Macaca fascicularis: one gene and its partner. The protein of the gene in region 2 purifies or fractionates together with the protein of the main gene of each other region. This does not show direct contact. Links are inferred from orthologs where the notes say so. Each region holds a gene or a part of one and is shown on either strand. Other genes may lie near its edges.

The links. The genes of interacting proteins can lie anywhere in the genome.
Region 1: the proteins of HIPK2 (region 2) and AXIN1 purify together in Homo sapiens (affinity purification with western blotting; 3 studies listed by BioGRID). This does not show direct contact. The link is inferred for Macaca fascicularis from reciprocal best matches to the Homo sapiens genes HIPK2 and AXIN1.

Annotation. Positions count from the first base shown.
Region 1 is NC_088394.1:1,102,673-1,108,667, forward strand, and holds part of AXIN1 (axin-1), read right to left. Parts: intron 2,572-5,995; 5' UTR 2,491-2,571; coding exon 1,613-2,490; intron 1-1,612. UniProt on the Homo sapiens protein: Component of the beta-catenin destruction complex required for regulating CTNNB1 levels through phosphorylation and ubiquitination, and modulating Wnt-signaling.
Region 2 is NC_088377.1:181,249,241-181,255,235, forward strand, and holds part of HIPK2 (homeodomain-interacting protein kinase 2), read right to left. Parts: intron 3,727-5,995; coding exon 3,566-3,726; intron 1,811-3,565; coding exon 1,340-1,810; 3' UTR 1-1,339.

The sequences.
Region 1 (5,995 bases), on a different chromosome or scaffold from region 2:
GAAGAACTGATGCGAGTTTTTTTTTTTGTTTTTTTTTTTTTTTTTTTTTTTTTTTTTTTTTTTTTTTGAGACGGAGTCTTGCTCTGTCGCCCAGGCTGGGGTGCAGTGGCCGGATCTCAGCTCACTGCAAGCTCCGCCTCCCAGGTTTAGGCCATTCTCCTACCTCAGCCTCCCGAGTAGCTGGGACTACAGGGGCCCGCCAACTCGCCCGGCTAGTTTTTTTTTTTGAATTTTTTAGTAGAGACGGGGTTTCACCGTGTTAGCGAGGACGGTCTCGATCTCCTGACCTTGTGATCCGCCCGTCTCGGCCTCCCAAAGTGCTGGGATTACAGGCTTGAGCCACCGCGCCCGGCCTGATGCGAGTTTTTAATAACTCCTCGGGAGAGTCCCAGCACGTGGGGCTGTGCTTTCGGAGTCTTGATTAAATCAACAGGGGTCGAATGAATTCCAGGCTTTCAAAGTTACACAGGCCGGAGCCTCCGGTCACCAGCTCTAGGGAAAGCGTGGGAAATGTATGTGCTCTGTTCACAAGCACAACAGATGCCAGCCCAAAAGTCAAATAAACCTCCAGGAACCACGCAGGGATCACAGGGAAGGAAGAATAAAGAAACAGGTTTCAAGGCTGAGCACCACTCTGCTCCGTCCCAGGCAGCACAAACACCCCACATGCCCAGCGAGGATCGCCTCAGGGCCCACGCTGCTGTGGACTACACAACACCACCAACAGATTTTGTTGGCAGGAAAAAAGGCCCAATCCTGGAATGCCCACCACAGCCACAAGAAGTTTTCAAAGTACTATGACCATTCCCCACACGTAAAACATCCCCCCTACTATTTCTCAGCCTCTAGGAAGAAGCTTAGAAGATCATTATAAAAGCAACAATCTGGCCGGGCGCGGCGGCTCACGCCTGTAATCCCAGCAGTTTGGGAGGCCGAGGCGGGTGGATCACCTGAGGTCGGGAGTTCGAGACCAGTCTGGCCAACGTGGAGAAACCCCGTCTCTACTAAAAATGCAAAATTAGCCGGGCGTGGTGGCACATGCCTGTAATCCCAGCTACTTAAGAGGCTGAGGCAGGAGAATCGTCCAAACCCAGGAAGCGAAAGTTGCAGTGAGCCGAGATTGTGCCACTGCACTCCAGCCTGGGCAACAAGAGTGAAACTCTGTCTCAAAAAAAAAAAAAAAAAAGCAAGAATCCAATCATCCAAGTATTGATGCCCTGAAACGTCCACTCCTCCCTTTATTAAGCGCAAAGGACCATGTCTACCGGATAGATCCAGATCCTATTTAAGAGAGTACAGACTCTACTGATGAAGGGTAAAGTTTACATGTCATCGTGACTTTGAAGAATTCCGAGGTTCCTAATGACTCATAAAGTCATCTATTTTAGTCTGGTCTGTTCTCAGTAAAAGTACTCTCAACATTACAAATATACAAAAGTATCTAATGACAAATGCAAAAGTATCACGAATAAGAACAGAACCAAAATTCAACCCCAACTGCAGCAGGACATCCAGTGTGGGTTAACGCCCGCCTCATCAGCACCTTTCTCTGGCTTGTTCTCCAGCTCTCGGAGGTGAGTACAGAAAGCAGGACGCTTGGCGTCGGACTCACCTGAACTCTCTGCCTTCGCTGTACCGTCTACTGGAGGAGGCCCTCGGGGCAGCTGTCTCCAGGAGCAGCTTCTGAGGGAGTCTTCCGGGAGGAGCAGCGTCTCTGCCATCGTCCTCGTCCATGTCCTGGTCACATTTCCATTCCTCATCTTCATTTAAAGTCGGCAGGTATCCAGATATGCCCTTCCCTGTCCCTGACCCAGAGCTCTGGTCACTACAGACTTTCGGGCTCTCCGAGCCTGTCCTCGTATATTCCAAATAAATATCAGACTTAAGGAAAGAGGGGTAGGTGTTTTCCTCCATAGTGGCCTGGATTTCTGTCTGGGCCTGGTCAAACATGGCAGGATCGATCAGCTGCTTCATGATGCAGCCCTTTATGAAGCTCTTGGTGGCTGGCTTGGTCTGCCGGGACACGATGCCATTGTTATCAAGGATGTACTTTCGATAGATGGCTCTCGCCAGCTTCAGCCTCTTTTCCTCGTTCGAGTCACAGGGCTCCAGCTTCCTGAAGCCAGTGCAGGCAAACCAGAAGTCCAGCAAATCGGCACAGCCCTCCTGCTTCAGGAAAGTCCTGAATAGGCTTATCCCATCTTGGTCATCCAGCAGGGAGTGCAGTGACTCAGCCCACTTCAAGTATGGTGGGGTGGGGGAGGCACTGCCCTCAGGCTCATACCCCAGGTCCAGATCCGAGCGCCTCGGAGTGGCCGTCGAAGTCTCAGCTTTAATGCCAACACCTTTCCCAGAGCAGAAACTGTAGCTGGCGGGCCTCGGGTCTGTGGACACCAGTTCTCCCTCCTCACCAGGCACTGGGGGTCGGGGAGCATCTTCGGTGAAACTTGCTCCGAGGTCCAAGGGGAAACCCTGCTCTTGGATATTCATTTTGGGACTCTGCGTCAATGAACAATGAGCGCTGCACCCTAATACATCAGTACTTACAGCTCCAAAGTGAATCAATCTGTCCTGTTGAAACCATTAAGAGGACAAGGATTAGGAAAGGTGGGTCCATGAAACACGACCAGAGGTTTTCTCAAGACAAGACTCACGATGATGCCCTCCCGCTCAAACTCAAAGCAAGAAACTCAGTTTAAATGTTCAGTCGAGCTATATTTTGGCTACAAGCATAGTTCCACTTTAAAACAATTTCTGGAAACTTTTACAACTACAGGAATGCCTCTCATGCTAAGAAGGGATGCCCAGGACACGGGAATGCCACTCCCCACAAGTCTCACTGCATGAACATCACGGAGGCTGGCAGCTTGAGCACCTCCCACCTCAGCTGCAGAGCTGAGTGACAGGGAAGACAGGAAGGCCGGAGGCAGGAAAGCTGCCTCTAGTCCTGGCTATGTGTATAAACCTGAGTGAGGGCTGGACCGTCACAAGTAAGATGGAGACAATCACTCCACCAGCCCCAACAACACTCAGAGAGAAAGGAAGGCGCGCTGCAGCCCCGAAGGTGGTGGGCGTCTTCTGAACCCCACATCCTCCAGGCTCAAGGCCACCGTTTTCCGCCTTTGCGTCACGTCACACGCGGTACACCTTGCAACACATGAGAACACACGGCACGGTGTTCCTCCAACTCTCAACACGCGCCTCAAAGAGAGATAATCATGGGTCACCTTCAGCCCCATCAACCAGGGGATCATGGACACCACCCACGCCCAGAGGCGCTCGGACACCGCCACTGGAGACAATCTTAACACGCTCTATCAGAATGCTGCACTTGACTCTTAAAAGCCTCTCTGATGAGGATTCAGATAGCAAATAGTAAATGGGTAACTTAAGGAACAGAAAAGGTACAGAATAAGAGGAAATGCAAATACAGTTTGTAGCTAAGGAAGCTATAGTTCATGTGACTTCACTCCTTAAGCTGAAAACCGAACCACCCACCCTCTTAGACATCAGAGAACTATAGAATTTGCTGCTACTACTGCTGCTGCTGCTACAAGCCTGCAAGGAGTATGCAAAAGAGACTAGGTAAGGGCTCCAACAGAACCCCTGCCATGGTCTGTGGTCCTTCCTGCCACGAACTATAGGAGCCCAGGAGCTCTGGCTATGCCTCTCAACCTGGCCACGCAGGTGACTGCCACACAGCCTGCCATGATGTAAGTGGTCCTGGCTAAAAGGGACTGGAGAGAGGGCTTTAGAGAAGCATGTTGGGTTCAAAAGCCTGGAGTGCTGAACAAGCCACAGGGAACAAATAAAACCCTAAAACCCAGGACCAACTCAAGGGGGATCTCCCAGCCACCACTCCACACTGCTGTCCCTGGTCTACATGGAATCTGTCCCCCACATCAACTTCCTCACATTGCACACACTTTACCAGCCAACAGCTGCTCCTGGCTGGAAGCAAGAAGGATCCACAGAGCCAGGCATGGTGTCACGCACCTGTAGTCTCAACTACTCAGGAGGCTGAGGCTGGAGGATCCCTTGAGTCCAGGAGTTCAAGACTAACCTGGGCAACATAGTGAGACCCAATCTCTACAAAAAAACTTTCTTAATTAGCCAGGTATGGTGGTGTATGCCTGTAGTCCCAGCTACTTGGAAAGCTGGGGCAAGAGGATCCCTTGACCCCAGGACTTCAAGGGTGCAGTGAGCTATAATCGCATGCCACTGCACTCCAGCCTGGGCAACAGAGCAAGATCCTGTCTCTAAAACAATAAAATAAAATTAGTAAATAAATAAGAAGTACCTATAGATGGAGGATGGGTTGCAACTATGTGCCCCCAGTGACATTTCAGCAGCTAAGGACTTTTTGGGAACGCTGCTGGGTAGTGTGTCATCTTGGTCTCAGCAGGAACACAGCTTCTAAAGGTCAAGGCCCAGTGAGCTGTGCTATCCTGCTGCTCACACACCACTTCAGCGGCAGCCACTCTGTGAGCCCTATCAGCATGGAGGGAGCACCCTAGGTGTGGGCACCTCCACACTAGCTCACGGTCATCTGTCTGGGACGCCGTCACAGGAAAGAAGGCCTGCACCCTGACCACCTGAGCCTTACCGTGATAGATGCGCTGCCATTCACTAGCTTGAATATTCATCAATGAATATTTAATTCATTGATTTTTAATTCAATGATATTTAATTCTTTGATTTAATTCATTGATGTAAAAAAGACAGACATTTGTCACAGATGCCAAACACTGGCTCTCTACAGATGCTGAACTACTGTACTACAGAAAACAGCAGCAAATTCTTCCAAAACTAATGGGTTTTGTTGTTTTGTTTTTTTTTGTTATTTTGAGACAGGGTCTCGCTCTGTCGCCCAGGCTGGAGTGCAGTGGGGCGAGTTCAGCTGACTGCAGCCTCAGCTTCCCAGGCTCAAGCAACTCTCCAGCCTCAGCCTCTCATATGGCGGGGACTACAAGCAGGAGCCACCAACGCCCGGCTAATTCTTGTATTTTTTGTAGAGATGGGGTTTCACCATGTTGGGCAGGCTGGTCTCAAACTCTTGAGCTCAAAGCAATCTGCCCATCTCGGCCTCCCAAAGTGTTGGGATTACAGGCCACCTTGCCTGGCCCCAAAACTAATGTTTTAATTCATGTGTGAACCAAGTCCACCTTAATTATTTTAAACTATTTTTCAGAGCCCAGGAGAAAATTTTTTTATAATCATGTGTATTTTGGGCTGTCAACTGACAGAAGACTTTTTGGTGTCCCTGGAAGCACATGAACCCCTCCACAAGTTACTGATGTTGTTAAAACATATCCCAATTCCTGAAATCTCTGGGTTTCCACATGGAAGCACACCAAGCATTTAGTGTACACACACGTAGACACCACACATAAAGCAGTTATGTTTACTCAGGTTAGCATCAAATGCCCGCAAGCACTGAATCTGGCCCACAGCCTGTAGCTACCATCAATAAAGTGAGTCCATAAAATGGGCAGGATGCCTACAAGTCTGATATCGTATTTAAAATTCCCTTTCATCACTGCTTAGGCATATGCCCCAGGCACCATGGCAGCAAACTCAGTGCTACCTACGTGTGTAGGTATTTATTTTACCCAAACTTAACTTTTGAAATTTTGATTTACATGGAGGATGCAAGTAAAACAGCACGACTCTGACATCTTCCCAGCTGTCCACTGATTTAACTCTTGAAGGTTCAGGGCTACTATTTCACATGTAATTTGTTCCCCCATCACTGAAATTCTCAGTGACTAATGTAATCCGAAAAAGTCTGCTTAGCTTTTCTGAAACTAGAAATCCAAGTCAACACCAGCTGAAAATCAAACAAAAACACTGTTTTTCATGCTTTCCCATCCTTGTCCCCGAATGGAGATCTTAAAACTGAAACTGAGGCCAGGTGTGGTGGCTGACCCTTGTAATCCCAGCACTTTGGGAGGACGAGGTGGGCGGATCACCTGAGGTCAGGAGTTTGAGACCA
Region 2 (5,995 bases):
CTCTCTCCTAGCTCCTGCCAGCTTCCCTGGCATCCTTCCGCTAGCAAACAGCCCAGGAAAGACAATGGGCATTAACATTTTAAAAAGAAAAAGAAAAAAAAAAAAGGCCAGAGTAAACTGTTACAACAGCACAACAGAAGAGCTGAGATTGTGTCTGACTAGCCTCAGTTTCTTGGAGTACCAGTGGAAGTAAACCCTCACGCCGCGTCTGTCGCTCGGTAAGGCACTAGGAGGGAAGGATGCAGTGTCAAGACTGCGCCAGCTAGGGTGGCGGCGCCGAGGGCCACCCGGGGAGGGCGGTGCGTGCACACTCACACGCGCTCGCTCACCCGCACACCTGCACCGCCACATTGGTTACATGCCTATGTTATATCGCTTTTTTTTTTGTGCAATTACATTGAGGAATATTCTATTGGTATCATTGGAGTTGAACACAAGGTAGGAGACAAGGGTGCTGAGTGCTACATTCTACTAGGGTGTCCGTGACGACCGCTAGCCCTACGCTATGCGACTAGGGGTGGACTCAAAGAGAAAATACATTTTCAGAAAAGAAAAAAAAATCTAAAGTTTGCAACACACATTATTAATGACATTTGAGGAACAACATTGCTTAGGGATTTATCCAGAGTGCTCAGAAAAAGAAAACCCGCCCCGCGCCCCCGGGGGCCTTCCAGCAGCCTGGCGTTCCCCGTCTTTCCTGACTAGGGAGCCTGGACTCAGCCTCGCCAACCCCACACCAGCTCCAAACATCAGCCTCCTCAGGCTGCAGCCTGACGTTCTGGAGAGCTGTTGACCCTTTCGAGTTCTGGAAAAATCCCTAAATCTTATGTTCAATTAATTAAAAATCTATTTGATTTCCATATCAGGTGTCCCTGACAGCAAAGTCTTCCGTATCACTTGCTGCCATATGAAAATAATCTTTGAAAAGTTCATAAAGTTCTTCAAAAACTGGGGCCCCCCGCTTCTGGAATCTTCCTGTTGCTCTCTTCTCCTTTCCAGTTTGGCGTAGAATGGGTTCTTGAGCTGTGTTTTTTGTTATTGACTTTTTTTTTTTTCCTTTTTCTTTTTTAAAATAAAAACCATAGATTTCCCACCCTCTATAATCCCTTCCTCTTAAAAATGTTCTCTTCTCTGCTCTACGTCCTCCCACTTCCCGGTTCAAGTTTCACTGGTGTCCCGTCCCGTCCCCCTGCCCCCCGCCCCTACCCCTTTTGCATTGTTTGTGTGCGGCATCTTCAGTATAAAAGGCCAGCGCCCACGGTCCCAGGAGCGCCTCCCTCCTTCTCTCCCTCCTCCCTCGGGCCATTCTCTCCCTCCCTCCCTCCCTCCCCTCCAGTGTTTATATGTAAGGGTACTGGTTGACCTTGGCGGGGCTCAGTGGGTATCCAGTGTAGACGGTGGAGGCTGGCGAGGCGCTGATGTAGGTCTGGTGGGCAAACTGGGCTGGATACTGACTCGGGTGGATGGTGGGTGAGGGCAGGACCCGGGGGCCCATGCTCACGGGGACCTGGTGGACGATGCTGGCTGGGTAGGCAGTGTGCTGAACGGTGTGGCGCGCCGAGCCTTGCGAGGCCACCAGGTGGGCCACGGTGCCGGTGGAGCCCAGGGCCGCAGGCGCGGTGTAGGTGTAGAGGTGAGGCTGGGTGGGGAGGTGGGCGGCGGCGGCGGCTGCAGCCAGGTGGGGGTGGACAGTGCCGTGGCTGGGGCTGTTGTGCGGGAAGGAGTAGGGAGCCTGGGCCATGGTGGGAGTGATATAGGCCTGCTGCCGTCGGTGGCTCCCAGTGCGGTCCGCGGTGATGTGCTGCTGAGCCTGGGGAGGAGAGGCACCAAGAGAGACGTCAGGGGCTGACACATGGGGAGGAAGGAATGGGAGGAGGGGCAGGAGGGCAGGAAGGAGGAAGAGAAGGGAAAGACGCCAGAAGTGACAGAAAGGGCTTCCCTCTGTGTGTTGAGAAAGTAAAAATTTACTTGGGACCCAGCGTGGTGGCTCATGCCTGTAATCCCAGCACTTTGGGATGCAGAGGTGGGCGGATCACCTGAGGTCAGGAGTTCGAGACTAGCCTGGCCAATATGGCGAAACCCCGTCTCTATTAAAATACAAAAAAATTAGCCGGGCATGGTGGCATGAGCCTTGCCTGTAGTCCCAGCTACTCGGTGGGCTGAGGCACGAGAATCACTTGAACCTCGGAGGTAGTAGACGTTGCAGTGAGCTGAGATCACACAAGTGCACTCCAGCCTGGGTGACAGAGTGAGACTCTGTCTCAAAAAAAAAAAAAAAAAAGTCACTTGGACTGAGAAAGTCCCGACTTGGCCTGCCACTCACCAGGCTGGGGTGATACACGATAAAGCCAGCTGCAAAGTTACAGGAGAAAATATTTCTCCCAAGGACACATAGAAGCTGTGGCATTATCAGGATGCCCCAGGTTGGAGTGCAGTGGCATGAACCTAGCTCACTGCAGCCTTGAACTCCTGGCCTAGAATGATCCCCCCCGCCTTGGGCTGCCGAGAAGCTGGGACTACAGGAGTGAGCCACCGCACCCGGCCAGGACACACTCTTTGAGCAGCAATTGCTTTTTCACTCACTGTAAAATCTTGTTCTCAAAATTGTTGGCTCTCACAGCATCTCTACAAAAAATTTTGAAAATTAGCTAGGTGTGGTGGCTCATGCCTGTAGTCTCAGCTACTCGGGAGGCTAAGGTGGGAGGATTACTCGAGGCAGGAGGCAGAGGCTGCAGTGAGAGCCATGACTGTGCTACTGCACTTGAGCCTGGGTGACAGAAAAAGACCCTGTCTTTAAAAAAAAAAAAAAAAAAAAAAAAAAAAAAAGGGTTGGCTCTCAGAGGCATCGCTGTCCAAGGTTCTGTCAGTCCAAATAAAATAGCCCTGTCCTACCTGGAGAACCTAAGTCACGTGACAGAGACACAGGCTCCACTGATGACCTGGGCAGCACTTCAGCTGAGAAGCTCTGAACACAAACACCCCATTTATCTCATCTTGTTTCTAGAGAAACAGGGGCCCTGAGTCCACCGTGTGAGTCAGGCCTGATGAAGAGCCCTTGACACAGCCCTGTGCCTGCAGAAACTCGGGTCACTCCCATTTCACCTCAACCCACCCCCCTTCCTCCAGGTCCTGGGACAACTCTTCCCTTCACTTGGGGGCTGTGGTGTGTGGGCCCTCCCTGCAATGAGTCGGATGCAGGTCTGTCCCTGGAGTCCCAGGCCGACAGGGCCGGGACACGGTGCTCTACCCTTTGCTGGGTTGAAACAGCAATATGTGGGCCATCCTATTTTTAAGCTCTAGCACCATGTCACTAAGGGCTTTGTAACATTAGACAAGTTGCTTTGCTTTGGGCCAGCTCTCTGTACACCGGTGATATCAACTTCCCCCAGGGTGACCTGTGGTGGAAGAAGCCACCAGAGGTCACCAAGGGCATGTGCTGCCCACCCGTGGCCAGGACTGCAGCCCTGTGAGGTGGGTGAGGGGCCGTCATAGTGATCCTCTCTGAAGCGGAAGGATGAGGGGATGGGGGCTCTGCCTGGCCTGGGGCGCCAGCCGTGGGGCTTACCTGACTGAGATTGAGCGGCTGCTGCTGCTGGAAGTGGGGGCCTGGCCGCTGCTGCCGGTAGGTGATGGCTCCAGATGAGCTCCCTGAAGAGTGACCGCTGGTGGAGGTCACGTTGCTGGAGGACTTGGACTTGTAGGAGGACGAGTGGTGACTGGTGTTGACTGTGGCAGGAGGAGAAAGAGGTCAGATGGGTGGCAGGGTCCCAGCTGCCCAGAAGATGCTACCCCACCAGAGAAAAGTGGTATTCCAGGAAGAAACATGTGCCTGAAGCCGGGCAGTCACAAATCAGCCTCATCTCCTCTGGACCCACTAGGACTTTGCCTTGACTCTGGATGCAGTGGGGCTCTGGCTCACTCGCTTGGCTGGGAGGGTGGATGGGGCTGCATGAGGGGACGAAGAAGGGAAAGCGGAAAGAATCAGGAGAGGCAAGGTGGGCCGGCAGCCTAAGGCCAGGCCCAGTGCTGCTCCTCTGGGAGGTGTGACTTCCAGCATCTGGAAAATGGGTGGGAGAGATCTGCTATAATTTGAATGTGTTCCCTGAAGTTCTTGTGTTAGAAACTTAGTCCCCAGTGCAAGTGTTTAGGGTGGGGCCAGTCAGGGATGTTAGCTTCTGAGGGCAGAGCCCTCACGAGTGTATGACTTATCAGTGCATTAATGTTGTTATCTCGGGAGTGGGTTAGCTATTGAGAGATTGGCTTTTTTGATGAAAACAAGTCTGGGCCCCTCACCCTCATGCTCTCTTGTCCTTCTGCCTCCTGTGCTGGGAAGACGCAGCACAAAGGTCCTCGCCAGATGCTGGCACCCTGTTCTTGGACTTCCAGCCTTCAGAACCGTGAGCCAAATAAACTTCTATTGATTATAAATTACTCAGTCTCAGGTACTCTGTTACAGCAATACAAAATAGACTAAGACAGGATCCCTGCTTGGTCCCCACCGTGGGTGACTATGAGTATCAGAGGAGACAGTGTCTGTAGTGGGACATAATGAACTACTAGAAGCTAAAATAACCCTCAGAGTCACCTGGTCTAGTTACCTGCCTCTAGGCAGGATGAGACTAAGTCATCCAGGAGTGGCCCTGTGAGCCAAACACAGCCAAGCACAAAATGGCTTCCATGTTATTGCCAAGGGGGCTGAAGAGTGGAAGAAACACTGCGACCCACCAGAGGTGACCTCATGGTCAGCAGGTGGCTCGATCAACACTTCCCAAATGTAATTCCTGCATCTTGTTCAGCAGCTCTGGGAGGCCTGAGCATCTGCATTTCTGACAAGCTCCCAGGGAGTGCCAGTGCTGCTGGGCAGTGGACAACGCTCTGAGTAGTCAGGGGCTCTGAGAGAGGCAGGTTGAACCCTGAGCTGGATGTCTTCCATGTTACCCGGCCAGAGAGCCACAGGAGCCTCTTCAGAGCCCAGTGGTTTTAACACATCCAAGTATTTTCTGAGCTCCTGCTGTGTGCTAAGGACAGTGACTGTGTACCACCAGGGACGGGGGTGGCAGGGAGAATGCTGAAAGCGTGAATAAGGAGGAGGCATCACAGATTCCACAGATGAGGTGGCGAGGCCAGAGGATAAACCAGGTGAAGATGCTGACAGGCAGGGACAGCCCAAGTCCAGGGAGGCCACCAGAACAGGACAGGGCAGGACAGGGCATGAGTGTCCAGCCCAGCAGGGGCAAGAGCCCCAGAGAGCGGGAGTTCTGCTGCTGTGTAGGGGTCATCTCCCCACCTCGGGTGGTGGAGCTCTGCAGGCAGGACCATCGCCCCTTGATAAAAGCAGAAGAGATGCTTTACCTCAGCTCTCCTCCAGAAGGGGGCCGCCTAACACACAATGCAGTATTAATACAGACCGAAGTGAAATTTCAAATCAAATGCACCCAGATGCACCGGCCATAGCCCTTCCTTAAATGCAAGCACTTTTGTAATGGCAAAAGCAACAAACAGACCCAGACTGGTGAGAAGATACTGGGCTTTTTTTTTTTTTTTTGAGATGGAGTTTTAGTCTTGTTACCTAGGCTGGAGTGCAATGGTGCGATCTCAGCTCACTGCAACCTCTGCCTCCCAGGTTCTAGCAATTATCCTGCCTCAGCCTCCCAAGTAGCTGGGATTACAGGTGCCCGGCACCATGCCTGGCTAATTTTTTGTATTTTTATTAGAGACGGGGTTTCACCACATTGGCCAGGCTAGTCTCAAACTCCTGACCTCAGGTGATCCACCTGCCCTTGGCCTCCCAAAGTGCTGGGATTACAGGCATGAGCCACTGCGCCTGGCCGACACTGGGCTTCTTTAGGAGCAAACCTGCATAATAGCCTACAAAAGTGTGGGAGGGAGAAAATTCCAGACACCTTTCTCTAACTTCAATGCCGATGGGAGCAGAAAAAGAGGGGTTTAGGAAGTGAAGGCTACGACAAAGCAGCCTGAAGACTGTGTGGTTTGT